2 linked regions of the Cricetulus griseus genome follow. The protein of the gene in region 1 purifies or fractionates together with the protein of each later gene. This does not show direct contact. Links are inferred from orthologs where the notes say so. Each region holds a gene or a part of one and is shown in the gene's direction. Other genes may lie near its edges. The genes, in order: Dicer1 and Prkra.

Region 1 (15,224 bases):
TTTGAAGTTAGATTTTAATAGCATTTATGATTTTCATCATTATCCCTTAGAGAAATTGGTCTTTTGATTATTTGTGTGTGTGCTCTATATTGTCAGCCTATATTTTTCTTTACTCTAAGATACTGGTTCCGGAACTCTGTGCTATACATCCAATCCCAGCATCACTGTGGAGAAAAGCAGTTTGTCTCCCCAGCATACTTTATCGCCTTCACTGCCTTTTGACTGCAGAGGAGCTAAGAGCTCAGACAGCCAGCGATGCTGGTGTGGGAGTCAGATCACTTCCTGCGGATTTTAGGTATGCCTGTGTTGCTGGCCAGAAATTTAATTTACAACAAAATAAAATTAAGTCAAAATTATATTTTTCTCAGTTACTAAAAGATGGAAAAGAAAACGTGGACACTTAAAACATGAGAATTTGCCAGGCGTTGGTGGCGCATGCCTTTAATCCCAGCACTCGGGAGGCAGAGGCAGGAGGATTTCTGTGAGTTCGAGGCCAGCCTGGTCTCCAGAGCGAGTGCCAGGATAGGCTCCAAAGCTACACAGAAACCCTGTCTCGAAAAACCAAACCAAACCAAAACAAACAAACAAACAAAAAAACAAACATGAAAGTTAACTGTATTGTTTGTCCTGAACTTTTTGTTCCTGTCAAGTTAGAGACAAGCTCCCGAGACAGAGCAGTCATTTCTTCTTCAGTGGTGATGTTGAAAATGAGGGTGAAAGCAGTTAAAATGAGTTACATATCAGAAAGTAGCAGCCTCCGTCTCTGCTTTTTAAAAATAATTTGTTTATTCTTATGTGCATTGGTGGTCTGCCTGCATATACATCTGTGTGAGGGTATGAGATCTTAGAGTTACAGGCAGCTGTGAGCCACCATGTGGGTGCTGGGAATTGAACCCAGGTCCTCTGGAAGAGCAGTCAGTGCTCTTAACCATTGAGCCATCTCTATAGCCCCATCCATTTGTTCTTTATCATTTTTTCCCTGTTAGTAAAGTTCCGTATGCCAAAGAAGTTTTTACTTAATCATTCAAATTAATTTTGGTTATATAGATGTTCTTCTAGGATTGGAAGAACTTAAAGATAATGTTATAATAGTTGAGTGCTTGGTTTAGTATGAGACACTAGTTTAAACAACATAGCCTTTATTAACTCATTCTGTTCTGTGTCCTGTCCTGAATAGGATGTCATTTCCAAGTGCAGAGTTTATAAGTTGCTTGAAGCTGCTTACTTGGTTAAGCAGAAAGTTTGTGGCTCCAGGTCCTACAGGAACCTCCTCCTTGGATCTTCTCAAGCCCCGTGCTGTGGGTGCATAAGCAGAAGTCCCAGAGCAAACTGTTGTGCATTATAGTTGAGTATGTGCAGAATCTCTAGTTATGTTCTTTTAAGCTTGGGATTGTGTTTTTCTTCATAAGTAGGAGGACTTTTAGAGTTGTTTGCTTTGTTAGTTTTTAATCCAAAAATGCTGCTGTTCTGAGCTTACCCTTCTGAAGAATGGATAGAAAGTTATAAAAATGTCTTTACAGATACCCTAACTTAGACTTCGGGTGGAAAAAATCTATTGATAGCAAGTCTTTCATCTCAACTTGTAACTCCTCGTTGGCTGAAAATGATAATTACTGTAAGCACAGCACAATTATAGTCCCTGAAAATGCTGCACATCAAGGTGCTACTAGAACCCCCTTAGAAAACCATGACCAAATGTCTGTGAACTGCAGAAGGCTACCCGCTGAGTCATCTGGTAAGCTCCAAATTGAAGTTTCAACGGACCTTACAGCAATTAATGGTCTTTCTTACAACAAAAATCTTGCCAATGGCAGTTATGATTTAGTTAACAGAGACTTTTGCCAAGGAAATCAGCTGAATTACTTCAAGCAGGAAATACCTGTACAACCAACTACCTCATATCCCATTCAGAATTTATACCATTATGAGAACCAGCCCAAGCCCAGCAATGAATGTACTCTACTGAGTAATAAATACCTTGATGGAAACGCTAACACATCTACCTCAGATGGAAGCCCCGCGGTGTCCACGATGCCTGCCGTGATGAGTGCTGGGAGAGCACTCAAGGACAGGATGGATTCTGAGCAGAGCCCTTCTGCTGGGTACTCCTCAAGGACTCTTGGCCCCAATCCTGGACTGATTCTTCAGGCTTTGACACTGTCAAATGCTAGTGATGGGTTTAACCTGGAGCGGCTTGAGATGCTTGGCGACTCCTTTTTAAAACATGCTATCACCACATATCTCTTTTGCACTTACCCTGATGCTCACGAGGGCCGCCTTTCGTATATGAGAAGCAAAAAGGTAAGGCACGGTTTTTATTCTGAGCTGTAGCTTCTTCAGTGTGCCTGAAAATGGGGCAGGTTACCCATGGAGCTTTCTCCACGCGTCAGTGCAGCTGTGTTCTAGTATATTTGGGCCAGCCAAGCCCATGGGGCGTTGCCCATAGGTGGCATGACAGCTGTGTACCAATGGTACAACCAGGCTGTGGGGCTGGCTGATAACCTTCTCTAGTGATAGTTCAGTTTAAATAAACCTCTGTGCAAATGGGTGGAACTCTTAGATCATGAAGGGGTAGAAATTGCCAGTGTTACTGTTCAGGGACTTGTGCCTTTGGTTAAGAGAGTGCTTTGGTAAACAAATGTATGCATGTGAGTAAGATGCAGTCATTCCAAGAGTTGCACTTCTTCCCAATTTCAGGGAGCCAGGCAAGCAAGGGAAGAGCATCAGGCTTTCCCCAGTGTAGACAGTGGTGCCCCATAGTTCTGAACAGTTGTTCCACAGTCCCAAGAAAGTAAGTTCTTTTTATTTTCCTATGTGTACATATGTGCATGCTTATTTGTGTGCATAAGCACACAAGCATGTTCAGCTGTGTGCATCTGTTCAGGCTGCAGGTCTGTCTTAGGTGTCTTCTATCAGTGAGCTCTGTATTTTTTCAGGCAAGGTCTCTCACAGAGCTTGGAACTCACTGATTCAGCTAAAGTAGCCAGCAAGCCCTCGGGATCTGCCCGTCTTCTGTGGTTGCCCTCTCCCCCACCAGCACTGGGGTTACAGATAGTGTCACAGCGCCTGGTTTGTATGTTGGTGCCAAGGATCTAAACTCATGCTTGCAGAGCAAACACTTTACTCGCTTAGTTCATAAGCTTAGTGTGGAAGAACAGTAATTAAGGTAAAATATTTAAGTGGTCATAAAATAGAAAACAGAACTCTGACAACTTACAAAGCTGCTAATGATCTAGCATTAAGTAGGATGGAGTGTCACTTGTGAGTCAGAGAATGTGCTCATGGGAAACCTTATTGATGGGGATGTCCTTCTGTATGCTGTGAATGTTTCTTGCTGTGAATGTTTCTTTTATTGGTTGATGGATAAAGCTGTTTCGGCCAGTGGACAGGCAGTATGTAGCCATGCAGGAAGTATAGGTGGGGATACCAGACTAGGAGAATATTGGGAAGAGGGAGGCAGAGAGAGAGGGAGAGGGAGAGGGAGAGGGAGAGAGAGAGAGAGAGAGAGAGAGAGGGGCCATGTAGCTACCAGGAAGGTAGGATGCTGGGCATTCTCTGGTAAGCCAAGACCACATAGAGATGCATAGATTCATAGATTAATAGAAATGTATTAATAATTAAGAGAGAGCTAACCAATAAGAAGCCTGAGCCATCGGCCAAACCTTTTATACTTAATATAAGCCTCTGTGTGTATTTGGGACTAAACAGCTGTGGGACCAGGTGGGACAGAAACCTCCTTATACTACGCCTTATCGTGCAAAACAATGCTGCATCTGCCGAGTGTGGTAGCACTCAATAGTGACAGTGGGGACTGGGAAACCAACTGAGGGAAGGTGTGAGAAGAGGCCCAACTGTATGAAGAGGATTTAGCACAGGAGTGCACATGCTGTGGGTACTTGAGAGGAAGTTTGAGCAAGGAGATGCTACTGTTAGTAGGCTGACCGCTAAAGAGACTGATGTGGCCCGGGGTGTAGTATGGGCTGAAGAGCACAGCTACGCCAAAAGCAGAACAAAAATGGCTGAAAGGAAGGGACTGAGGTGAGTGATAATATCAGAAAAAATCATTTTAGTTCAACAAACTTCTTATTCTAGTTCTTTTATGTAAAACATATACATGAAGGTATAGAGACAAATACTAATTTCTTTAATTTAATCTAAGTTTTCTTATAGCCTAGAAAGGTGCATGTTTTTATATGCCCATTTGGTAGGTAAGACAATGAGGCAGGAGAGGTTTAACTTACCCGAAAACATTGTGGTAGGGAGCAGAGCTGGGATTGAGCTGACAGTATAGCTATGGGCCTCCTTGCCTGTCCCAGTCATGGCAGCTTGCTTCAAACACCAGACATGTAAACATCTTACAAACAACACTTAATCTCCCTGCAGTTCCATTGCAGTGACATGTGCCACCATTTTGCAGATGATAGGGGCATGAGCTTGTGTGAGGTTATTCACCAGCCCCAGATATTTAGGAGTATGTCTGAGACTAGAGGCCACATCCATGCTGGCTGACTTCCCGGTGAGCTTAGGACAGGCCATCGGTGCAATGACCTGACAATTGTGACAGCTTACAGTGGGGGGTGGCAGTGGCAAGTGTCATGAGAAAGACAGCGAGGCATCAGGCAGGGCTGGTTGTTTAGACCTTGTGGTATAGGGACTGGAAGAATGCTTAGAAGCTAGAACTCAGTCCTGAAGGTCTCAGGGCTCGTTAGAGGATGAAGGTCATAGTCATGAAGGCATTTGAAACAAGAATATTAGACCCTATTAAGCAAGAAAGATACTTTATTATTTTAACATTCAAAACTTTATCCATTCATCTACTTGGAGCCCTTTGACTTGATTTCTTGCAGAAATAATTGTTTCCTCTGCCTGGTGTTCCAGTGTGTACAGAATGCTCTTCCAGACAGATCCTGACCAGACTCTTGCTTGCCATTCTTGACACAAGCCTCATGCTCATTGCACAGCCTGTGTCCTTGCTCAAAGCTGGCCCTCACTGTGATCTTCCTCATTGCTGGTCCTCTTGGCTTTGAATTTTGCCTCTCATCAAGTCCTTAGTTGTATATTTTCCATTCCACCAAGCATTTCTGACTTGGAATATTTTCTCTCTCTGGGCTCTTATTGCCTTCTTCCTCTTGGGATGCTCTTGTATAGCGTGGAAAAGGAAACCAGCATTTATGTACATTGGCTCCATTATAGACAGTTGGGAAATACTTTGGCACGTGGTAGTCCCAGTCAGAGCTGTCTGCCAGTCTGTACACATTATAAGGACTCTTCTCTGTCCCTTTGCCTGCTTTCTACCAGACTGCCTAGCCACTGCTGATCATGGGTGCGACATGCTGACTAAGTAGTACTTGAGTTATATGGAAAGGGCTCCTGGAGTATTCCAGTACGATTTTAGAAACTGGAAATGAAATTGATGGTATTAGATCCTAGTCTCCAAATGAAAGCTAGACAGCTACTGTTTTAAGTAGGTTAGGGATGTGATAGAGCCATTAGGAAAAGCAAGTGGACTAGAGGAAAGATTAATAAAGCTGCCTGAGTAATGTACTTGTACAACAAATGTTCTTTAACACTTTTTATTCCAGTGTCTTAAAATGTTACCCACAACAAAAGAACAGTATTTGAGAATATTAGGATTGGAGTTATATTGGTGCTTAGAGAAATACAATGGTTTTATAACAGTGACAGTTTTCATGTAACACGATGTCCTTCCCTTACTTGTTAAGAATATCATGACATCTCGAGTCACAGCGTCGTGACATCTTCTGCTCCCAGTTGCACTTGCCGTCTTGCATTTCATATTATCAATCTGTGCTTTACAACTTTGAAATTGAGCTCTTTTTCTGACTAGTATATAAGGAAAGGAATTTGTATACATTAGGTTTTTGTGACTCCATTTGTAGTGAATATTCATTTGATGACACCAAAGGATATCCAATACTTGGGAATTTTTAGTCATTGTTAAAAATAGGTAGTAAAACTGTGTGGTCCTTATGTTTGGTGACTGGTTGTGTAGTACAGAGGACATTGGCATGTGTGTTTTCCAGCCATGACCATTTATGGGTAAGTGTTTGTGACTCTTTTCCACCCAAGGTCAGCAACTGTAACCTGTATCGCCTTGGCAAGAAGAAGGGACTGCCCAGCCGCATGGTAGTGTCAATATTTGATCCTCCTGTGAATTGGCTTCCTCCTGGTTATGTGGTCAATCAAGACAAAAGTAATGCAGAGAAATGGGAAAAGGATGAAATGGTAAGCAAGCGCTCAGTAAGCAGCACCTCCGTTTCTGTTGACTGAGCACATTTGCAGTGTAGTAGATATTTCATATGTTGGTAGGCTGTCTGACCTCAGAAATAGTGTTCATTTTAGGGGGATAAAATTTTGTTATGTTTCCACTTAAAAATAAAATCAGATCCCTTTCAGATTCCCTTTACTCTCATGTATCCTTAGCTATTTGTTGAAGTGACTTTGCAGACCTGTGATCACCAGGCTGTGTCCAGAAGAATTCACTGCAGCACACACTAGCTTATGCGATGCAGGGCTAGCTTGAGACTGTTTGCTCTTGCAAATTGGACAACAGATCATCATATGGGAAGGTTGGGAAGGTTGTAGTATGCTATGAATAATTGAAGTCTTGCCAGAGACTGAAGACTCATCTCTTTAGCAGCCACAGCTTCCTTTGTCTTGTCCCAAAAGCCACCAGGGGGCAGCTGGGAGGTCTGTGTGCCCTGGGCTAGTGGCTGGGAGAGAGCTGTCTTATACATCTTTGAAGTTACCATCTGCTCAGGCAACTCTGATTGCCAGGTACAAGTTTATAAATAGCAACATCTTCATGCCTCATTTCGGACATTTCTATCCCAATAAGTCCTAAGCATATGTAGTGGTGTGGTCTGGGAAGCTGTTCTGATACAGGCCTGTTTGCTGAGTATATATGTAACTCAAGTAGGATTTGACTTATCACAGAAATGCAGCTTAGCTGCATTAAGAGAATATTTTACTTTAAGTTAGATCTAAGGATGACATTTGTTACTGATTTAGAACATACACACATAACATTTACATACATGTATATGTATATATACACACACACCATAGAAAAAGTATTTCATCTCTGAAAAAACAGTCAGCAGGCCTCCTTTTCTGTCCATTTGACCCTTTAGGTGTCAGGGACATATCAGGACTTTCCTGAAATAGATGTTACAACACTGTTACAACTTCTGGTTCCTGGCCTTTTCTGCCGACTCAGCACTGTGGTTCTTGGCATACACTAATGTACTCCTCAGGCTTTCATCTGCTGCTTTACTTAAACTGACACACTGGGAAATCACAAAATGTTTTTGGCTTGTGTCCTTACAGTTCCTTCTGCCTCAATGTCTGAATGCCTCTTCGAAGAGAAAGAGGGAGGGTAGCTCAGGTAGACTGTACTGTCTGAGACACAGACTCTTCAGAGGCTACTTGTGCTTTGGAGAGCATTTCTGAAGTACATCTTCTTGTGAGAATGAAGAGTGCAAGAGGCCCACCATGTTACAGACACAGTGATTTATGGAGAAACTTTGCAAAGCTCAGGCTGAGTAATTTAAATTTGGCCCATTTTGTTGTAAGATCCAAATAATAAAGCCAGTGTAGTGGTTCATGCTTTTTTCCCATCATTTGGGATGCAGAAGCAGGTGTTCAAGACCAGCCTGGTCTACACAGTGAGTTCCAGGACAGCCAAGACTACATAATGAGATCCTGTCTCAGATAAAACTAACAGAAACAAAAAGTAGTCAAAGCCTCTCATTTTATCTTGGAAAGGCACAAAGGTTCTGACAGTTTGCTGAGATTTGCTACTTGCTGAGTGTTTTACCTGGATGTATGTGTGTGTAGCTAGTAGATGCTGGTACCTGTGGAAACCAGAAGAGGGTGTTGATCCAGATGGTTATAAACTGCCATGTCAGTGCTGGGAATGGAATCCGGGTCCTCTGGCAAGATTAGCCAGTGTTCTTAATGTCTGAGCCATCCCTTCCACCCTGTTGATTGTTTGGTGTTCTTTATTTTTCAGAAGAAGTTTTGTGTATTTTTTAAAACAGTGGACTGTGCGTGATTACAGAGCTAGACTCACTGTTATTTTATTTTCTCAAGCAAATCCACAAATTCAAGCAAATTTCTAACTCTTTTGAGTCTGGTTGAAAATGAAATATATGCCTCTTTGAAAAACACTTGGGTAATAGTTTGCAAGTGTTTTGTCAGGATACTTAGGAAAGTTGTCCCAGTCAAAGTTGAAGCTTACTGTCCTTTGTTTGCCCCAAGTGCAGTGGTGGTGGCTCTGCCCAGGTGAGTTTGTGTTTATGGTATAGCAGAAATTGAGCATCTTTTTAGCATTGCTGAGAGGTTACATCACTGCTGAATTGTAGCCCGTTATTAAGGTTGTCATTCACAAATAAGCTTTTGCCAAAGATACTGGAATTAGCAAAGATTTTTTTTTGACAGAAATGGGATTGTTATGTTTCATGTTAGTCTAAATTTTCTTCTATTTTGTCAGTCTGTTATGATCTGTTGGCCTGAATACCATGGCTCAGAATAGAGGGTGAAAAAATAATTTCACAAATTCATCCCCTCTTTCAGTGGTCACATTCATTTTTTAAGCAAAGCAGTTTAGTTTTACATTGTAGCAAATAGTTTTTGATTTGAAATGGAAATAGAAAGTATTATAAAACCCTACTGTAGTTTATAATATTAAAGGTTTTTTAAATTTTGTCTGTTTTTATATTATGCATATAGTTGAAAAGATGGTGCTCTTTCTACATCTGGAATTTCATTTTGTTGGTTTGAAAGTCAGGCTACCATATTTTCAAATTCTGTCAGCTAAGTGAAAGGCCTCTGATGGACACACAAGGGCTGTATCAGTAGTTAGGGCTACTCAGTTGACGTTTTGCATGGTGGACATCAATTTTAACTTTATCCATGTTCAGGATTTTTCACTTACAGATTTATACTAGATAAAGGTCATTTTATAACTTAGAAAATGAGCATTCAAAGAACATGCTTGACTTTGTTTATATGATTAAATAACTTATTTAATGTTAATTGAAAACAAATGGCCATGATTTTTAAAAGTTGCCTTTTAGTATTTGTGGTTGTCATTTGAAATTATCCATAACCCTTGCTTTTATTGAGTTTCAAACTCTTTTAAAAACAGCGGCTCTGTCTCTCCTTTCCCGTTCCCCGTTTCAGACAAAAGACTGCTTGCTGGCTAATGGCAAACTAGGTAAGGACTGTGAGGAGGAGGAGGCCCTGACGTGGAGGGCTCCCAAAGAGGAGGCTGAGTATGAAGACGACTTCCTGGAATATGATCAGGAGCACATCCAGTTTATAGACAGCATGTTAATGGGGTCAGGAGCCTTTGTGAAGAAAATTTCTCTTTCTCCTTTTTCAACCTCCGATTCTGCTTATGAATGGAAAATGCCCAAAAAGTCCTCCTTGGGCAGTATGCCGTTTTCCTCAGACCTCGAGGATTTTGACTACAGCTCTTGGGATGCAATGTGTTATCTGGATCCTAGCAAAGCCGTTGAAGAGGATGACTTTGTGGTGGGTTTCTGGAATCCATCAGAAGAGAACTGTGGCGTTGACACAGGGAAGCAGTCCATCTCTTACGACTTGCACACGGAGCAGTGCATTGCTGACAAAAGCATAGCGGACTGTGTGGAGGCCCTGCTGGGCTGCTATTTAACCAGCTGCGGCGAGAGGGCCGCTCAGCTTTTCCTCTGCTCGCTGGGGCTCAAGGTGCTCCCAGTCATCAAAAGGACCAGCCGGGAAAAGGCCCTGTACCCTGCTCAGGAGAACTTCAGCAGCCAACAAAAGAGCCTTTCAGGGAGCTGTGCTGCCACTGCAGCCAGCCCACGCTCCTCTGCAGGGAAAGACTTGGAGTATGGCTGCCTGAAGATCCCACCAAGGTGTATGTTTGACCATCCAGATGCAGAGAAAACCCTGAACCACCTGATATCTGGGTTTGAAAATTTTGAGAAGAAAATCAACTACAGATTCAAGAATAAGGCTTACCTTCTGCAGGCTTTTACACATGCCTCCTACCACTACAACACTATCACTGGTAAGGAGCCCAACAAGGAGACTTTGTGTCTAGTGCTTTGTTCTGGCGTGTATGCAGTCTTAGCGCTCAGTGTGCGTGGCAGGGGGTGGAAGTCTCAGAGAGCAGAATTCTTTATGCTCTCCATCACTGGGGAGTAGGAATGCTCTGTGACTGTGGCAGTTGAGGTGCGGCTCTTACATCCTGTCATACATGGAGTCTCACAGGCTGCAGGCTTAGAAACTGAAGCCTGTGTGTTTTGCTGTTTCCTATCCTTTCCTACCTAAATACCTTTCTCGGGGATATTCATTGCTGCTTTAGCTTCTTGATTTACTCATATAATCAGGTTATATTTCCACATTGTTTTGTTGCTCCTAGACAGAAAGGTACCTCTCTTCTGGGCTTTTTAAATCTAAAGATGAGAAGATTAAACAGAACTATTCTATAGGAACAGAACTATTCTATAGGAAGGGCTTGTTACTTCCTTTGTTCTGTTGTTATCACCTTCGCCTTCTTTATTTAGTAGTCTCCTAATAAAAGGAGAGTAAGTCCCCAGAGCCAGTTAGCTTCAGCTTCTGGACCCAGATAAAGTTTTTTATTTTTCTTTTTGTATAAGAATATCAAACATATCAAATCAAAATAAAAAACTTATAGTTTGGATAGGTTAAAGCCATTTACAAAATATAAAACCTGAAAGTGACGTTGTTAAACTAAAGCCTGCTTTTCTGTGTGGGAAGGAAATGGCATAGTTTGCATGCATTGCTAGAAGCTATGAGGCCTGGACTCCAGGGTGGCTTGGCTCTCCCTGCTCCTCACCCAGTAGGTACTCAGGAACTGGGCGCCCTGTCCCAGCCTCAGTTTTCTCAGCTCAGTGAATTCTTTTAATGACCCTGAGGAAAATCAGAGTGCTGGTCAGCATTGGTAGCTTTTCATTCTGACAAGCAACCCTTTTTGTCTGGGGTTTTATTCTAGTGCACAACTTCTTTCTTAGTGCCTTGGTTTGTGTCAGGTTCGTGTGTCTAGTTAGAGTTGAAGAGTCATGTTTTCCCTGCTGTTATCTCATGTACCGTATAACCCTGAAAGTGCTAAGGAATTATACCACTACAGTGCCTTGATGACAGTGCACAAAGGGTATGTGGCTTTACTGAGATGCCACTATGTGCTAGAGACACAGGAATGATGCGCAGTGCCTGTCTGGCTAATGTAAGAACCCAAGGAAAGGGGTGCTGTGACTTTGATTGTGTCTGGAAAGTGCCTTTTGTCCTCCAAAACAAGCATATTATTTGGGCACTTGAAGATTATATGACCCAATTTATATATAAGAAATATGCTTTCAGTTGCTGTTAAAACTTAACTTCCAGGCACATTAGCAAATATATGTCCAATAATTTCATTGAGGAAGGTAAATGAAAATGTTTCTTGGTAGAAGTCTCGAAAGGAGCCTGGGACTGCAACTTTTTCATCTGCTCCCACGCAGACAGAGTATGCAGAAAGTGCATGTGCTCATGCAGGCTCACCGTTGCACTTTGGATCTCTGCGCAGATTGTTACCAGCGCTTAGAATTCCTGGGAGATGCGATTTTGGACTACCTCATAACCAAGCACCTTTATGAAGACCCGCGGCAGCATTCCCCAGGGGTCCTGACTGACCTGCGCTCTGCACTGGTCAACAACACCATCTTTGCATCGTTGGCTGTGAAGTATGACTACCACAAGTACTTTAAAGCTGTCTCTCCCGAGCTCTTCCATGTCATTGACGACTTTGTGCAGTTTCAGCTTGAGAAGAACGAGATGCAAGGGATGGACTCTGAGGTTAGTGCTATTTAAACTGTGAACTCAGTGCTGAGGGAAGCAGCCGACTGTGTTTGGGCAGTGTGAGCTCTGACTCATGGCTCTCCAGAGGGATAGTTCCAGGCCAGGGCCAGGCTGCTCACATGCTGTGGGATCTCCAAGCAGAACTGAGAATGACTTGCCTCGATCAGGTAGGCTTTTGAGACTTGGCTGCCCACTCCATGGACCAAGTAGTCATTCAGGCGAGGAGACTGGGTTTTCAGTTCCTCCAGTGAGGCTCCTACAGCAGGCATAGAAAGCTGTACAAGTGCACCTCTTCCCATGCCCCAAAATGGCCTTCGCTTCTCTGCTGTCACAGGATCTCTTCCTGTCTTTTATTAATTGGTTCAGAAATATTTGGTAGCACCTCAGGTGTAAGCCTCGCAAATGTACACTTGAATTGTTTGCGATGGGAGCTCTTGTTTGTAAGCTTCTGGGCGCTGGGAGGCATCTGCTGCTCTCCAGTGCCGCCTGGCTCACGTGTGTGCATTCTGCACTGCTCTGGCTCTGTAGGCAGGGACACTGCTCAGCTGCCCTTTCCCGTCTGCACCCAGTGGCCAAGGAACTTGCATTCTAGTCTAGGGTTCATTCCCAGCTCATTGTCTGATTTCAGTTTTTACTGCCTCTTTTGCAATTGCCCAAACCTCTGGAGAATAGTGAGTTTCTGGGCTTTCTGTGGGAGTGTAGAGTCTGGGATTGAAGCCCTAGCAGCCACTTACACTCCCCACTTTGCCTCTGTTAGCAGTCCCTGCCAGCAGCGAGGTGAGGAAGGGAACCATCCATGTACATTTCTAGTTGAATTCTTTAAGTTTGAGGGTTTTACTAAAATTCAAGTTCTCTTTTGATGCCAGTGAGGCATGCTGGCTGTTAGTTTTTCTTCCTTCTTTTACTGTCCTTTGTATCAACTTGTATAGAAGCAACAATGCTTTTTCTTAAGGAAGTCTATCTTTCTGGGCCTTAGCTTCCTTTACTATAAAGAGAGAGAATCAAACCTGCCAGGTTTGAAATTTTCTTCATATCCCAGAGCTGTGGGCTATGAGTAATGAGTATCTTAGAGAAGCCAGCATGTGAATATATTAAATACAAATTAAAATTTTCCCTTTTTCTTCTCCTCCACAATAATCTGTGCTTTGTTGTTGTTCTTAGAAAATACAGGTAAACAAGAGAAAGGAAGGAAGGAAGGAAGGAAGGAAGGAAGGAAGGAAGAGAAAGAAAGAAAGAAAGAAAGAAAGAAAGAAAGAAAGAAAGAAAGAAAGAAAGAGAAAGAAGGAAAGAAAGAAAGAGAAAACTGAAGTTGTCTGGGGATGTGGTCTCATAGAGTCAGCATTAGTACTTGGTGTGGGTCTACTGTTGCTAATGTTGCTGGTGTGCTGTACACTGCAGCTGCCCTTAAACTTGATGTGCTCTGCAGCTGTACCAGCATCGTGACTTGTGGTGATCACACACTCAACTTGAGATGGCTCGTTTCTTTAAATGGTCCTTCTAAGGGGATAGTTAAGTAGTTTTTAGTTAAGATGGTTAGTGACTGAGTATGATCCATGGGTTTGTATATGCAGTTAGTTATTGGCAGAGATCGTATTGCAGCATTAAAGGTTTTATTCCACTGATCCAAGTACACACTGTGACAGCTCTGCTGTCATAGTGAGGGTATGCTCATGCTTTAGTGACGGGAGCCTGGAGGGAAGGGCTGCAGAAAGGACTTCTCTGCCCTAGAAGTGGCAGTCTCCACCCTCGTCCCTGCACTGTTGCTCTTGCTGGGCACTGAGAGAAGGGTGTTCTAATAAATGCAGTTATTTGGTTACAGGTGATTTTGAAAAATTTTAACTTCTAGTTCTGTGTTAAACTTAAATTCTGTTTTAATTTAGAAGTTTGCTGGGCATCAGTTACTTGTCATGTTTCTTTTTTGATGAGGTGGTTTGGGGATATCCACTGCCATGAAGCAGGCATGCCATGGGTGCTAAATAGCAAAAGTCAGCCGAGGACAGCAGTCTGTGGACAGCCTTTGAAAGTGCCTTTTTTTCTGACAAGTCACTTCTCTTCATAGCTTAGGAGATCCGAGGAGGATGAGGAGAAAGAAGAGGATATCGAAGTCCCCAAGGCCATGGGGGACATTTTCGAGTCTCTCGCTGGCGCCATTTATATGGACAGTGGGATGTCTCTGGAGGTGGTCTGGCAGGTGTACTATCCAATGATGCGGCCGCTAATAGGTACAGTACTGGCTCTTTCTCTTTGGCGTATTTAAGAGCACTATTTAAAATGCCTCTAGGATTTTTGGTCACGTTATATAATCTTTCATTTTGATTATAGAAAAGTTTTCTGCCAACGTGCCCCGTTCTCCAGTGAGAGAATTGCTTGAGATGGAACCAGAAACCGCCAAGTTTAGGTAAGTAGGGAATGTGCCTGAAAAGTAATGTAACTAAAAATAAGAGTTCTCAAGAAACCATAACTACTGACTCTGAGAGTGTCCACACAGATGTGCTATGACCTGGTTTCCATTTTTGGTCTGATTGGCTGCTCTTTTGCTTTTTGTTTTTATAAAGCAAAGCTGAATGAAGGAGGAAAGAGTAGCCTGCGTTGACAGTGTGCGATAAGCCTGGTACACGGTCAGCTCATAGGGGCATCAGCCTGAGAGGGCTAGAGGTGCTGACTGACAATAACAACAAATAACTCTGACTTCTAATTCAAACTGTGTGGGTTTTGCAGCCCGGCGGAGAGAACTTACGATGGGAAGGTCAGAGTCACCGTGGAAGTGGTGGGAAAGGGGAAATTTAAAGGTGTCGGTCGGAGCTACAGGATTGCAAAGTCTGCTGCAGCAAGAAGAGCCCTCCGCAGCCTCAAAGCTAACCAGCCTCAGGTTCCTAACAGCTGAAACCTCCAGACGCGCAGGCAGCAAAACGATGAACCAGCACCACAATTTGAAATACAGCAAAGGAGGATTCAGAGTTGACACGGAGCAGAATAACTGAAGGCAGAATTTAAAGTTTGATAACAAGATAGATAACAGAATAAAACATTTAATATGTGTATAAACTTTTTGGAACTAATTGTAGTTTTAGTTTTTTGCGCAAACACAATCTTGTCTTCTTTCCACTTCTGCTCTGTTTAAATCACAAGAGTGCTTTAATGCCAGCATTTAGCAAGTTCTTGAACTCATTTTGATGGGTTTTGTTGTTGTTGTTTTGATTTTGCATTTCATTTCTGTTGACTTTGCTTGGTGTTAAGAGGTCCTGGAGCCTAACCCTCTAACAGTCCCTAGAACTGTGTAGAGTCCTCTGGCCTTGCAGTCCCTTAGCACTAGTGCCTGTCCCGCAGCAGTTGAGCCCCACAGAGCAGAACAG
Region 2 (15,987 bases), on another chromosome or scaffold:
AGGAAGTTATATCTAAGCAGGTATAAATTGATTGATTGACTGGTTGACTATTAACTAATGCCATCCATTTGGGCACCAGAGACGTCAGACAACTTACTGCCTTCGGATTCCTTATTTGCCACTTCTACAAGCTGCCTATTAGAAGTCATTTATTATCCTTCCCACAAAAGCTAAGGCATATTTTGTCACTGGACCTTGTTTTATTCCTAACCTGTAACTGTAAGTGGGGTAGTATAGGGTCTTCACTAAGAAGCACAAAAGAGGTGCTGGGAAAGTAGACAAGGTGCTTTCCTCCACCCTAGCATAAGACTGACCTTACTGAATGCATCATGCATCTGTAATCATGAAAACGAGAGGGGAGACATAAGGAAAGAGACAAAGACAAGGAAAGGAGGGAGGGATGGAGGGAGGGAGGGGGAGAGAAGGAGGGAGGGAAATGGGGGGAGGAGAGGGAGAGGGAGAGGAATTCATTCCTATCACATTCCCCTTAAAAATATCACTTGAGAGGGAAAAGGGAACTGGGATTGTCATGTAATTCAATCTTGTTTGTAATTCAAATAAAAAAAAGAAGACCCCCCCAAAAAAATCATTTGAACTTTTACATATCTTTTACTCACCAAAGGCACCATCCAGGTAAATGAAGAGTTCAAAAACACTGAAAGCTATAGTTGTGTGTGCTGGGAAAACAATAGCTTTTTCCCTTCCTTTGGGATTCTGTTCATCCATAAAATGAAACTACAGTAAACAAATGGATAAAATAACATCATTACACAGCAGGGCAGGGTAGCTTGTCGGAGAAACAAACTTCCAATAACCCCCGCAAAAAAAAAAAACACAGCCACCTACTCAAGTAAAGCACTGCCCTGCCTCAGTTAACCCTTCCATTGGACACCCATGCATGATAGGTCACCTAGAGGCTGGTGACCTTTTAGCTCCCCCACTTGAGGCTTGAAGTCAGCAATTAGTGTCACCACAGTGTTCTTGCATAAACCCTTCTCTAGCTTTGCCCATCTACTTCAGAAGCCCCACAGCAGCAGGAAGCTCTCCCAGTCACAAAAATGACCACCATCGAGTAAATGTTTCAGCTTGTGCCCCTCAAATGACGGATGTTAATCAGAATTTGGAGGATATCTGAATACAGACTCTGAGCAGAATGCTCCTAATGTAGTGAAGAATATAATGGGATAGCTTTATGAGAAGGCACCTAGTGTCCCTGGAATGTCTTGGTCATCTTGCATAGATGAGATGCATAATGTGTTAAATTACAACTGGAGGGGGTTGAAAAGATGACTTAATCCTGTATTTTTTTAAGAGGTGTTTCTTTATGATGTGTGTGGGATGGTGTGCATGCCACAGGTTATGCAGAGATATCACAAGACAACTTTGTGCAAACATTCTTCTTCTATCATGGGTTCCGGGAATAGAACTCAGGTTACCAGGTTTGCGCAGCAAGCTCTCTACTCTGAGCCATCTCACTGGTCCTAGTCCTATATTTTTAACAAGTGGTTTTATTTTATTTTTTTCCTGAATTATCAACACACCATATTTGTACACACCTACGAGAGGCAATGTGCTACTTTGGTTCATTGCACGTTGGACAGTGATCAACTCGGGGTAATTAGTGCATTAATCTACCACCTTAAAATTTCACTATTTCTTTATAATAAGTACATCCATTTCCTCTAACCATTTTGAGAAGTATGGGACATAATTATCTTCATTCTGCTGTGTCAAGAGCCAGCAGGACTAAATTTCCCTATCCTATCCAACAATAACATTGTTTCCACCAGCCCAGCCTCTGCTAGGCCCGGTCTATGTTCAATGTCTACAAGATGAGTTTTTTTCTCTTTTTCTTTCTTTTCATTTATGTGTGTGGCATATGCATGGGTATGTGTTTGTATGTGTGTACACATGCATGGGGGTATATGACCACATGTATGTGGATATATATGGAAGCCAGAGGTCAGCTCTCCATCTTATTTTTTTTTTAAGATAGTTGCTCACTGAACATGGGGCTCACTGATTGGGTAAGATTATTAGAAGGCCAGCCAGTCCCAGAGATCCTCCTCTCTCTGCCACCTCCCTTGTGCTGGAATCACTGATGCACACTGCAACACGTAGCCTCCATCCTTTTGCTTGGGGTCAGATTCAGATCCCCATGCAGAACAAGTACTTTATAGACAGAGCCATCCAACATCCCACTTTAAAAATTATATTAGTGCTGGGTGTTGGTGGCTCACACCTTTAATCCCAGAACTCTGGAGGCAGAGACAGAGGCAGGCGGATCTCTGTGGGTTTGAGGTCAGCCTGGTCTACAGAGCAAGTGCCAGGATAGGCTCCAAAGCTACACAAAGAAACCCTGTCTCAAAAAAACAAAAAATAAATAAATTTATGGTTTTCATAATGAGGTGTGTGTGTGTGTATGTGTGAATGCACTTTGTTCTAATTTGTCCTCTGCCACTGCCCTCCCCTTTCCACCTTAAAGGTGAATTATCAATACGGAGTTAAATATTGATAAGGATATTTATTAGGGAGGGCCCTACTTACTCAGAACAGCCTAGCCAACCGGCAAGTAACGAGGTAAGTAGAACAAGCCGAAGAAGAAGGGGAAGAAGGGGCTCCCAGGTGTGTGGCCCTCACTCTTAAACCTCCCTCTAGTCACCCTGACCACACCCTAGAGGGCAGGGCCAGGCACACCTGTAACCAGCCCTGAGCAGGCGTGGTTAGGGTGTCCCCTACACCACCTTCATACTAATCTCCACCCTCATGTACTCTTCCCTTCTGCTTTCATATCACATGTATTCCATCTCCTTTCCTCCTCCCCACAATCTTTTCTTCACCTTTTATGGTCTTCTTTATGGTTTCATGACCTGTACACAAATACATGCACACACATAAACACACACACACACACACACACACACACACACACACACACACACACACACACACACACACACACACACCCCTCAAAGCTGGATCTTACATATTAGAGAAAATATGCAATATTTGCCTTTCTGTGTTTGGCTTATTTCACTTGACAATTTCATTTTCCTACAAAATCATAATTTCATTTTCTTTACTATAAAATGTCACCTATCAAATCAGCACTAGGTATCACTAGTCGGTAAGGATAAACAATATAAATACTTTTCTATTTTTAAATTTTTTCTAAAGATTTTTTACTTTTTTATGCATATGTATGAGTGCCTGCCTGCATACATGTACATCATGCATGTGCAGTGCCTGCAGAGGCCAGAAGAGGGCATCAGATCCCTGGGACTGGAGTTATCACCACTTGTGAGCCACCACGAGAGTGCTGGGAACCAAATCTGGCTGCTCTCCAAACTTTTACCCGCATGGCTTCGCCTCGGATGCCAGCATGCACAGACAGGGAACACTGCCTCGTGGTCCTAATGCTTTCCATGACCACGCACAGCACGGCCTTCCTGCTGCTCCTTGATTGGCGGATCAAACTGTGGTCAAAGTTAATTTTTCTAGAATAAAATTTTAAAAAAGACACATGCACAAGATGTTTTAATATGTGGTTATACAGAATTAAAGGTACCTGTTGTGTTATTTGTGGTCCATCTTAACTCACTGTGACTCGAGGCAGTTATAATGCAAATCAGAAAATATAAATCATTTAACAAATTTGCCTCTCCTGTCAATGGTTTTTCTTATTTTATAGAGTGCAGGCATGGCTGTACTTTTGTAGAACTGGGGACTGAACCCAGGGCCTTGTGCATATAGGCAAGTGCTCTATCACCAAGCCACCTCCCAGTCACCCACCCCCTCTTTATTTAGACAGATCCTCAATAATCTGCCCAAGAAGAACTTGAACTCACTATATAGCCCAAACAGGCTTGTGATTCTCCTGTCTTACTCTCCCAAATATCTGGGATTACTGGCATGTACAACCACACCTGACTCTCCTGGTTCTATGGAATGTTCTTTTCTGTCTGTTGAGAGTCTATTGGAAACACAGATCATATTATTTCAATTGATTAATTTAGCAAATTATGTAGAACCAGAGTGATGTTTTGTGAAACAACTAAAAATGCTTATCAAATGAGTTTTTATTGGGTTGGGGTACTAATTAGGCACTAACATGTAGGTCGTTCAAATGAAGGGAAAATATTTATTAACTTCTAAAACACAACCAAAATGTTTTAAGCATTCTTTGCAATGGAGTTGATACAGTTAAATCATTTAATGAGAATACAGTGGTACACAAGGATCTTTGTACTGACCGAGCAGTAATTTCCTTGAGTAATGTTGATACTTCTACTTCATGTTTGGTTACCACACCAAATGAAGCTTTGACTGCGATGGAATCAGATCCAGTAACATTAATCCCAACATCATTCACAATATGGTTGCTTCGCCTTCCATAGAGGGAGACATCTGACTCATCTTCATAATTCAGTAACTGATAAGATGAAATGCCTTAGGAGAAGGAACTTAATAGTTTTAAATGTCTCAAATTCATCTTAGACTTTATGTAGTATCATGTTAACATTACTGAAAAATTCTTTTGCCGAGATGTTAATTCGACAGCATTTCCAAACACATGAGAAGTAGCATTTCAGGCAATTTTACTACAAAAATATTACAGAATACTTAAAAAAAAAAAAACCTCAAATTCTCTGTTCAGACAACAGAATACATATACATCAATCAAGATCCATGGGTAGCTGAAACAAAAACAAGTGTCCATAGCTAATGACTAGCCATCAGGCCTATTTTATAATCTAGCAGTTCAGGGTTGGGAGGTGGCTCAGTTGGTAAAGAGCTTGCTTGTAAGCTTGAAGGTCTGAATTTAATACCCCAGCACCCACATTTTTAAAAATTGAGTTTACCTATTGTAATAAACTGTAAAATAATCTCTTTCAGTTATTGATCATGTGAAATGGGTAAGACCAAATAATATCCTATACTATACAGGACAAAATACACCGTTTTCTTGGTCTATTTAGTTAAAAACAACTTATAATTGGGTTTAAAATTAAGCAATAAGAGATTTGAAGCTATAAACACTTAAGCATTGTTCTTCTTAACGATACTACTACCACATAAAGGTTGATTTTATTCTTAAAATGTGTATTATTAATATAATTAATCTATACAACCTCCATTAGGTTATTACTGATACAGCCCCATGGAGAGTCACTCCCAAACATTTAAACTTACCAGCTGAAATGTCTCGATCTCCTAGTAGGACATCTTTAAGCGTGAAAGGCGTTGAGGTAAATTTGTGTCTAGGAAACAGAAAACACCGCTTCTTTTTAACCACCAGACTCAGGGGCTGGTACTTGTCCGCTTCGCTGAGGCTCGGAACAGGCACTAATCTCCCTCCATCTCCAACTTGCTTAACAAAGCTCTTGGTAGCAGCAGCAAACATATTAATATCAAGATGTCATCAACTGCGACCCTCAGGCAACAAACCCATTTTTTTATTATTAATTTTTTACAAACCCATTTTGGATGAAGAAAATCAGACACCAAACCGAGCCTTGTTTGATGTTAAATCCAATTACGCAGGTTAGAAGTATAAAGCATGCTCTCACCAGGTACTTTACCGGTGTGCAGTTCACAACACTGCCTCCCCTCATGAACTCAGGTAATGAATAATACATGGCAGTGTAAGAGGATACGCCAAAAGCAAGTCTAACTGGGAATGGCAGTCTACAGAACTAAAACATACACAAAAAAAACTAATTCAACACATGACCAATGTCCTTGAGGAGACCACAGTTGAGAGTGCTCTGCTACAAGCAATAAACCAGTTCCGAAGGAGCTTAGAGCCCTATGGGAAACTGTGCAATTGAAGCCCTAACATTAGGCCTGGATATGATCTACGGTGGACATCATCCAAAAGGAATCCCTTCACCAGGCCAGCAGGTGAGTTTTGGCAACAAACAGAAAAGCACTTTTGAATCCTCACAGTATTCAGCATTTTTCTCACTGGGATCTTGTGTGCTTATAAAACTATGTGTTTAGTACTAAATATCAATTCACAGAATAGAGAGGGACAATTGTAAGCAGCTCTCTATAGAATACTAAAGGCTTTTAGTTACAAATTACATTATGTACTAAAAACTACTATGGCAGTCTCTTACTTTAAACTGATGGCTCAAACTATATCACCTGATAGAATTCTGCTGAATTTACATCCTTTTTGTTGCTCACTACTGTCCCAATCACCCAACCTAGAAAACTAGTTACTTAAAGTTTTGGCTTATTGTTAAGGAGTTTTGTGGACCCATTTAAATTAAATTCTAGGAAAAACAAACAAAACACTATACTGAGATATTGTATGGCCGTAGGTGGTTGACATATTTTGAAAGTGGTTATTACAACACAATTTTCATTAAACACATGAGTGTAATATAATAGCATTATTGGGTAGTAACCTATACTACTTATGGAGAAATAAAGGAAGAGAGAATAGGCTTAACCTAAGCCCCAGTAGAATTCAGTTTGATTCGATTCTGGATATTTTTACTTGCTTCCAAGTATTTGGTCTCACATGCACCCAAACCCAAATTTCAGTCACAAAACCAACTACTTTTGTACTCCGACCTAAAAAAAAAAAGTGTATTTTTTAAAAAATAACTGATAGCTGTCTGTTCGTGAGAACATTTCTAGAATTTAATTCTAGAGCATCAGGTAAGTAAGCACAGGTGTCATTGTGCAAAGTAGTTCACAAACCTCTAAAATTCGCTGTATCGCTGTCTGACACATCCACAACACACTCTGAAGGCGGAGCATCCTAGACTAACATCATAACTCCTCTCCGCATAAACCAGCAGGGGAGGGAAGAGCTATCCTGGAAACTAACTGGTCTAGATATCCTTACTGTGCACCCCACCTCCCTGGTCATCCGGAATCCTGTAGTTTCCTAAAGCAGCGGTTCTTAACCTGTGGGTCACAACCCTTGGGGGGGGGGGAGGTTGCATATCAGATATTCTGATTATGAGATATTTACATTACGATTCATAACAGCAGTAAAATTATGTAGCAACGAAATAATTTTATGGTGGGGGGTTTCACCACAACCTGAGGAATTGTATTCAAGTGTCGCTATATTAGAAAGGTTGAGAAACGCTGTCCTAAAGCCTGCAGACCACAGGAGCCCGCCAGGCAGGAGAGGATTTCAGGGATCCAGTACTATTAAACCAGCCGGTCCTGGGATAGCTTGGTGCCCCTTTAGCCGACGCTCCCCGGTCTCAAGTTTTGGGGCGAAGATCCGGAATTTTCTTAGCAATTTTGCATTCGGAATTTTCGAATCTTTCTTGAAGCAACCCAGCCCTTCGTCTTTCGTCCTTGCTCCTCAAACATGCTGGCTCTCGGCCTACTAGAAGCTTTCTCACCGGAAAGGGCCTCCCTCTAAGGACAAAGGACTGAGCCTCTGCGCCACTAAAGGCGGGAGGAGAAACCCGGAGAACCGAAGCGGGGCGCAGGCAGAACTGAGAAGAGCTGGGACTGGCATGGAGGTGGAACCTAGGAGATGAGGGGCGGGGCCAGGCGAGCATAAGCATTGGAAGCTGGGAAGAGCCGGGACTGGCAGAGAGGGTGGGACCTGGGCGCGGGCCGAAGCTGGGAAGATCAGGGACCCTCAGAAAGGAAACCGGGAAGGCGCCCAGCGCTGTGGCATAGGGGAACAGGGCACGGCGAGGGGCGGAGCATGGTAGAGAGGGGCGGAGCCCAAAGGCCGGGCAGAGAGGGGGTGTGGCCGGCTCTTCCGCACCGAGGCCCCGCCTCTCCTTCCCTCTCCGCCTGTCCCTTTGCTGGAGACAGGCAAGCAGCTATCGGAAGGGGAGCCAGGCAGCAGTGCAGGCAAGCTCCTCTCGGGATCTGGCCGACGTGGAGAGGGAAGACCCAGATCCACACTGCTCTCGGTCACTGTGCACAGCCGTCCCTTCTCGCCATGTCCCACAGCAGGCATCGCGCCGAGGCCCCGCCGCTGGAGCGCGAGGACAGCGGGACCTTCAGGTCAGCGCTGGGCCGTCGAGGCCGCAGGCCCAAGACGGGTGGGCAGTGGGGCAGGGGCGGGGAGCCAGCTGTCGGGCTGCATTCTGGGTAAAGCCCCCTCCTTCTTCAGGCACCGCACTGGACCCGCCCTCCGGGCCGGGGGATCTGCCGCGCACCCCGCCCCTTCGGCAACTATCAGATCTGGGGGATATATGACCAGGGGTGCAGGACTCGGGTGTAGGCTTGATGTAGCCTGCAGCTCCCGAGCCCACCCGGTTTCCTTCGGCATCCCTCCCACTGCACTCAAGTTCTCTCTGTACAGACCTCTCTACCCTCATCGATAGGCTATAGCGCCCAAAGACAGGTGCGCCCAGGCCTTGCCACTGACCCTGGCTTCTGGGGAGCTGTGGAGGTTTTTTTTGTTTTGTTTTGTTTTGTTTTTTGTTTTTTGTTTTTTGTTTTTTGTTTTTTGGTTTTTTTTTTTTGGTCACTATTTGTGGCTGTCAAAACTGACAAGTGGATGTTTTTGCTTCCCTATCAGCTGTGACATGTAAAGCTTTTTTTTTTTTTTTTTCTGATTTTTGCAGTTTGGGCAAGATGATAACAGCCAAGCCTGGGAAAACACCGATTCAGGTATTGCACGAATACGGCATGAAGACCAAGAACATTCCAGTTTATGAATGTGAAAGATCCGATGTGCAAATTCACGTGCCCACTTTCACCTTCAGAGTAACCGTTGGTGACATAACTTGCACAGGTCTGTATGCAGTTAACCTCCATGACCATGTGGATTGACGGTCCTGACTTTGTGTTGCTTTTCGGCTAGGAAAAGTGCCCCCTTTTGCCAAAGTCACCTATGGGAGCAGAGGAGACACTCCGCATCAATTTCATGTGTTTCGCTCCCTAGTTTTTGTCTCCCTAAGATGGAAGAAGCTCAGAAACGCAGAAGGTATCCAAGCATCCTATACCTAGGGAGCCTGCTAAAGTTCCTCTTAAGAACTAGAAACTGGAAATGTTCTTGGGCTGTCATAGCTAGGTCAGTAGGTACTATTACCTCTCACAGTTACAAGTGCAGATGTAGGCCTGACCTCAGAGTTTCTGAGTTTCCCCCCTTTATGGACACATCTGGAACTTTGGATTCTTGGTGCCGTTTTTGAGTCTGTGTCTATGAAATATTGGGAAGGCAGAGACTCCTGTACTGTATCCCATCAAGCTGTATTGCACTGTAGCTTCTCATTCTAGATACTATACAGGTATTTTGAATAAGGTTTCCCCTTTTTATTCATGAAGTAGCAAGTTCAGAGACATTTTCATAAGCCATGTGACCAAGGTCACACAATAATGGGGTTTTACAGTTCAGATTCATATCTTCTTTCAGTCTGAGTCTGAGAAAATGCCCACCAGAGTTGACATTTGTAAATGTGGACATCATTTTCCTATATACTTATTTAGTTAAAAGCATGAAAATGTTGAATAATTTAATTTGTAGATATACAAAGAAAAAATTTAGGGAAAGCTAAAGTTCCACTGTCTAGTAATCTGAATGTATCATATATTTGTATCTGAGCATCTGGGGTTGTCTAGTCATTGGAGCCACTTCAAAAAATTGAAACTCTTTTTATTTATGTGTGTAGATGGATTGTAGGTATAGGCTGGAAGGCTCCATATAGAAATCCACATGGTTAGATTGAGTTACTACTTTAACTAGTCATTTTTTAAATATTTGTGAGGAGTGTTCAAGGGGGAAAAAAAGCCATTTTCCCCTCTAATGCATTTTATTTCAATCCATAAAATTGTTGTCTAACTCAGAATGCTTTTTCTGGCATTCTAATTTATCTTCCTTTCTCTTAGATTAATTTTTTTAATCAAACAAATGTAACACATCTTTGAATCATTAAACAAATATTTCACAGCATTATCAAATATAACACATCTTAAATTAATATTCCACAACAGTTCTTATATACATGAAGGTTTAGAAGAGACAATTTTGTTTGCTTTTTGTTTTTTGAGACAGGGTTTCTTTGTAGCTTTGGAGGCTGTCCTGGAACTCAATCAGTAGAGCAGGCTGGCCTTGAACTCACAGAGATTCACCTGCCTGGACAGTCACCCAAGGTTCCTCTATAACATTGGAGCATGCATTTTAGGCCTATAGTTCTAGAATATCTGACAAACTTTTCTGTGAAGCATAAATTTTGAAGGACTGTCCTACCTTGTCTTGACAAAGTTTGACAGTCACTTTCTTTTGTGTCCTGTTTGTCCAATTTGAACAGTATACTGTCAGCAGTTGAGGCAAGGGCCTAGCTTTGTCAAATGGCTATCCCAAAAGGCTACCTTTGTCACATTGAAATGAAACTCCATAGGGAGTTTCTCTGATGCCCATCATCCTTTTTTTGAAGTAAATTGGTGCTGTCAGGAGCAGATATGTTTCACTGTTATGAAAAGCCTTATGTTTTCAAAACATTTTAAATGCCATATTCTGTAGGTCTTTGAAGTGTTTGAAGACCATCTATTTAAAATATATCTGTTTGACCTTGAAAACATACTTAACATGAGTTAGATTGCTATAGATGACTATTAACCTGTTTTTCTTTATTGTCCTCAATGGCTTTCAAGGACTAGAACATTACATTACATTTTTAAATGAGCTGCACAGGTACAATATCTTAAATAAGAGTAGAAACATATATATCGCATAATAAAAATAACCTTAAATTTGTATCAAAATACGAAAATCTACACCAATGTAAAATATATGAGACTAATATTTGTTCAAAAGTAGACTCCACAATCCACCCTTTTATCCCATCATTTCTATACTATATCCTCCTTTTCCCTTCAGAAAGAGGTCTTTGGCTCTAATCTCCTTTGTTTAGTGCTTTTTCCTGACCATGACCAATAATGACAAATATCCATACCTCACCAAATGACCAAAAACCATGAAATGTGGGTATGGTGTTCTCTAGACTGCTTCCTGTTGTCTGGGGGCAACAACATCTTTTGGGGACCCTGAGAAAATTGAGATAATGGTTAAGTCCTGGGAAAGTTAGTTGTGTTCTTATTTTTTTTAATCTCTGTGTGATGGGAAAGTGTAAAGCTCATTTGAAGGTTTGACTGGATAGTCTTTGAGGCTGCTCCATCTCAGCAGCCTTGAAGTTGGTCTGGATGCAGAATTTTGATTAAACTGTAACAGAGGCATTTTTGAGAGGCTGAATCACCAGGATTACTTGTCTTTATGGTGTCTGGCCTTTTTTTTTTTTTTTTCCTGAAAACATACAAACTTTTAAAGGTAACATATATATATCTGTATTAACACAAATGTGGAATTTACAGTATACACAAGTCAGTTAAAAATCATTCTTTGTTTTATGTTTCAGCAGGTAAAAGGCATCTGTCAACTTTATAAGTCCATTTGGACTGTGTAACCAAACCTCTATCCACGCCATATGAAAGGATGGCATGTAATAATACATCATGAGGACTCTCTAGCCAACAAGTTTTATCATGTCTTGTTCAGTCTCAGAGCTGTTCCTATGTAGATGTTGCCTTTTCTGTAGTCTTTCTTGGTCTCTTTTTCATGTTTATAATCAAGATTTTTATCTTATCTTTACTAATTTTGAAGAGAACCTGTGGAAACAAAAGCATAGCCTCTCCTCAAATACAACACATTCTCCAACTTCCATTCGGAAGTGAAGACATTCTTAAAATATATAAGTTGGTTTAATTTAGCAGTTTCCATAATCCAGTGTCTTCAGCAGCTATTGTTTTTGTACATTAGCTTTAAAAATTCAAAGTCAACAAAGTACCATACAGGATCCAGGCACCCTATGTGTTTCCCATTTTTATGAGGCTTATTCTTTTTTGTTTGGTTGGTTTTGTTTTGTTTTGTTTTGTTTTTGGAGACAGGGTTTCTCCATGTAACAGCTCTGGCTGGCCTCAAATGCACAGAAGTCCGCCTCTGCCTCCAAAGTACTGGGATTAAAGGCATGTGCCACCACTGCCCAGCAGGGCTTATTTTTATATTACTTTACTTTCTCTTTAGAGACTTTATTATTTTTAAACTATTTCTTTCTATGACCATCTATTACCATTTTTACTATATCTGTTTAAAAGTTTTCTTGGTCTGGACCATTTTGCTGCACACCTGCAGCCTTCTCTGACTGTAAGACAAACCTTCAGTGGCCACGTCAGATACCTGGAATACCAGGCAGCTATGGCAGCTGGTTCCATCCCCCTCAGTTTGGTGAGAGTGTAGCCTCAGGCCTGCAGACCCAGCCTGGAGCCAGTCTATCTGCCCCAGCTCCAGTAGGTGCTTCTACCTAGTCTCCTGCCACCAAGTGCCTGCTGCTTATAAACCCCATTCCACTGTTTGCTAGCAGCGCGTCTTGGTAGCAGGGCCTGTATATGCTGCAAGCAAAGAGCCTCCTGGGAACTTGTTTTTCAGCTTTCTCAGGTCCTGTGTGGATTTACATGCCATGCATTAGGCACCAAATGTAATAAGTCTTTTTCTGTCCCTCCAGCCAGCTCCCAAATTATAACATGGAGACTTCTTATTAATTGTGAAAGCTTGACCTTATCTTAGGCTGGTCCCACTAACTCTTAAATTAACCCATTTGTTTTAATCTATGTTCTGTTGCATGGCTTAGTTACCTCTGATCTATACCATATATCCAACTTCTTTAGAGTCTCCCTGGTGTCTCTTGTGAGCCTAGATTCATCTCCTACTTTCTCTCTGCCTGGAAGTCCTGCCCTTGCCTCCTGCCTAGCTGTTGACCATTCAGTTTTTTATTACACCAATCACAGCAACACATTTTTACATAGTATACAGATATCCCACAACAAAGTTCTGTTTGCTAAGTTCTGTGTCTTAGGGAGGTGTGATATGATCTAGCTTATAAATAGTGTTTTATATAGGTATACATAAACTCAAAATAAATAATACTTTTAAGACTGGCTTTAGTGTGTTGATTTCACATGTTGAGTGTTTTAGTAATGTAACTGCATATAGTGGATGGTTTCAATAGCAAGCATGCCTATGGTGACTTTGTTTTACACTGTGACCACAGCTATGAAACCCATACTTCTTACAGAGACTAAGAACATTCCCCCCATTTTTAATTCAGGTGAAGGTACCAGTAAGAAGCTGGCGAAGCATAGAGCTGCAGAGGCTGCCATAAACATTTTGAAAGCCAATGCAAGTATTTGGTGAGCTAAATTTCTTTGTATTCTGCAGCTCAAAATTTTCATGGCTGAGGTAAGATGAAAAATTTTAACATGCTCACAAAAGCAACAGAATGAACAGTTGTTGGTATCTTCACTCTAAAATTCCATATCTGTGAAAGCCTGCCATCCATTAAAGACAATTTAAGCCAATTAGATCTGGTAGTAGCTGTTAAAGGAATGCTGTCATGAACTAGGCTTTAGTGGTTTGTGTTGGGGTGCAATCATTATTTATAGCCAATATTAATATTCTTAATATGCAGGGTATTAATTTGTTAATTAATTGATGGTCTTACTTTGTTTTCTGTAGCCTAGCTGGCCTCAAATTCACTATGTAGCCCAGGCTGAACTCCAACTAATGGTTCTCCCATCTCATCCTCATTGATGCTAGTATTATAGGCATATATCACTCTACCTAGTTGTAAGTACTCTTAGGAGTTCTCATTTGGAAAAAGGAGGCAAGGTATACCTTTCCTGTATAAAGTACAGGGGTCTGTTAAGTGAGGTAGTAATTCCAGACATTTCTACTGTCAGTGGTTTTAGAAAGAGTATTAGTCTTACATCATTGTATGTCTCATAAATGGTGTCTTTAGTTTACACTGGGCACACTGTGGAACACAGCATGCCTTCAGTTTCCTCTCTGACACACACCCAGAGATGCCTGGAGTTCAGTCATGTGTAATCTGCCCGTAGTTGGCCAAAGGGCCAATGGGATTTAGGGTATACTAGGTTTTTTGTTCTCTAGCCATAGTGAGACTTACAGATTAGGAATATATTTAGGTTCCATGCAGTAGCTCTCTCTCAGTCATTCTAAAGCGTTTGGGTAATTTAAAACTAGTGACCTGTTTACCTTCATGGTAAGTGCTTGCCTCAGGCCAGCCTTGAACCTCACAAGGTGTAGGGGAAGCTGTAGCCACGCCTACTTAGGGGCTGGCTACAGGTGTACCTGACCATGCTTGCGACTGTAGCCAGCCCCTAAGTAGGCGTGGCTACAACAAGGTGATGCTTATCCCTCTGTATGGAAGTGACTTATGATGGCTTTCAAGTCACACTTCTTGTAGTACGGCTTTTGAGACCTTCCACCTGCTGGCAGTGGCCCTTCTGTTCTGTGCAGCCCAAAGATCATCTCAGAGTGTTGGGTACATTTGTCAAAATCAGCAAACAGCATGTCCTCTCTGCACATGGGCACTTCACTTTGTCACCATGAAAGGCTAACAAACTTTACTATGTATTTGTGCTTCTTGACAGATAAGATGAGAATTACTAAGCTGTAATCAGGCCTACAGTGGTCTGATTTAATACAGAGACTTTCTCACTTCTCCATCCCAATTATTTGCGTAGCTTCGGCATGCAGCATTGTAAGTGAATATGCGTCTATCTCGTCAGCCTGGGTTAAACTTGGCAGTTGGAGGAGACAGCAGTAGCAGAACTTCAAGTGTCACAGCAGAAATGACTCTTGAGTTGCTTAGGTCATTGTCAGCATGGAATGTAGCTTATTCAGAACGAGGCATTGATTTCCCAAGTGATTAGTAATTTCAAACTCCCTAGAAGAAACTGTTCTCTCTCCCCTGATTATAATCCCCACACACATTTAAACCACACTCATATAGGGCATCTACTTTATGCAAGATGTGTCACAATCTCAGAAGATTAAACTTACATTGAGCAGATGACAGAACAAATTTTTTTCTTGCCTTGATATGTGGACGAAGAAACATTTATAGCCTTTGTTACTGCATTGCTAGAGCTAGATTTCCTGACTAATGGTTGTCTTTTTGTTTTGTTTTGTTTTTTGTCTACAGGGGTTGGAGGGATGGCTCAGTGGTTAAGAGCACTGGCTGCTCTTTTGAGGTCCTGAGTACAATTCCCAGCAACCACATAATGGCTTACAACTATCTATAACAGTAGTCCCATGGGACCTGATACTCTCATACAAAACAACCATACACATAAAGTACATAAATAAAATTAATTTTAATAGTAATGTATATTATACATGCATACATTCATACATACGCACTCATATGTATGTATATAATTTTTAAGAACTTCATACATGCATCTATATCACCCCTATCCCTCTCCCCTTCTCTTTGTCCAACCCTCCTCTCCATCCCAAATTCATGATCTCTTCTTTAATATTATAGTTACATGTACTTTTTCTGAAACTGTATTTAAATTTATTTATTTTATTTTGTGCATATGAATGTTTTGCTTATAAGTATGTATGTGTACTGCATGCATGCCTGGTGCCCACAGAGAACAGAAGGAGGTATCTGATCCCCTGGAATTGAAGTTATGGGTGGTTGTTAGCCATCCTGACCCCATGAGAACTGGGAACCAAACCCATGTTCTGTAAGAGTAGTGTTTTTAACCACAGCCATCTTTCCAGCCCTCCATATGTACATTTAAAATATTATTATTAAGCATTGGTTATGTACAAAGCTTATATAAGCAAGTAATACATAGACCCCACCACCAAGTAGTATTATTCAGTGTGAGTTGGGAGAAGTTAGTTGAGGAATGGACAGGCTGAGTGTAACAGTGAATAATTTAGGATCCAACAACTTTTTAAAGAGCCAGACTAAGTGTTTTTTGTTTGTTTGTTTGTTTTAAATATAGGGTCTTGTATAGCTCAGGCTGGCCCTAAATGGTACAGTGTTTCAGAAGAATGAGAGATTATGATCCATTGAGGTAAAACTATAAGCATCTGGAAATGATGCTTGACATAGCTCTTGGATGATGGGTCCATCAGGTTCCCAAAGAAGTCGCAGTGAGGGACATTCAGTC

What was found.
Region 2: the proteins of Dicer1 (region 1) and Prkra purify together in Homo sapiens (co-immunoprecipitation; 4 studies listed by BioGRID and IntAct, with this or other methods). This does not show direct contact. The link is inferred for Cricetulus griseus from reciprocal best matches to the Homo sapiens genes DICER1 and PRKRA.

What each region holds. Positions count from the first base shown.
Region 1 is NC_048598.1:190,319,214-190,334,437, forward strand, and holds the end of Dicer1 (endoribonuclease Dicer), read left to right. Parts: intron 1-119; coding exon 120-295; intron 296-1,520; coding exon 1,521-2,301; intron 2,302-6,090; coding exon 6,091-6,246; intron 6,247-9,207; coding exon 9,208-10,081; intron 10,082-11,599; coding exon 11,600-11,868; intron 11,869-13,930; coding exon 13,931-14,093; intron 14,094-14,193; coding exon 14,194-14,269; intron 14,270-14,589; coding exon 14,590-14,755; 3' UTR 14,756-14,778; downstream 14,779-15,224. UniProt on the Homo sapiens protein: Double-stranded RNA (dsRNA) endoribonuclease playing a central role in short dsRNA-mediated post-transcriptional gene silencing.
Region 2 is NC_048599.1:98,395,839-98,411,825, forward strand, and holds the start of Prkra (interferon-inducible double-stranded RNA-dependent protein kinase activator A), read left to right. Parts: upstream 1-7,757; 5' UTR 7,758-7,933; coding exon 7,934-7,998; intron 7,999-8,564; coding exon 8,565-8,734; intron 8,735-13,100; coding exon 13,101-13,182; intron 13,183-14,208; exon of another isoform or gene 14,209-14,555; intron 14,556-15,987. Other genes in the region: Pjvk (pejvakin), read right to left, coding at 618-735, 3,356-3,497, 4,254-4,449, 5,194-5,404. UniProt on the Homo sapiens protein: Activates EIF2AK2/PKR in the absence of double-stranded RNA (dsRNA), leading to phosphorylation of EIF2S1/EFI2-alpha and inhibition of translation and induction of apoptosis.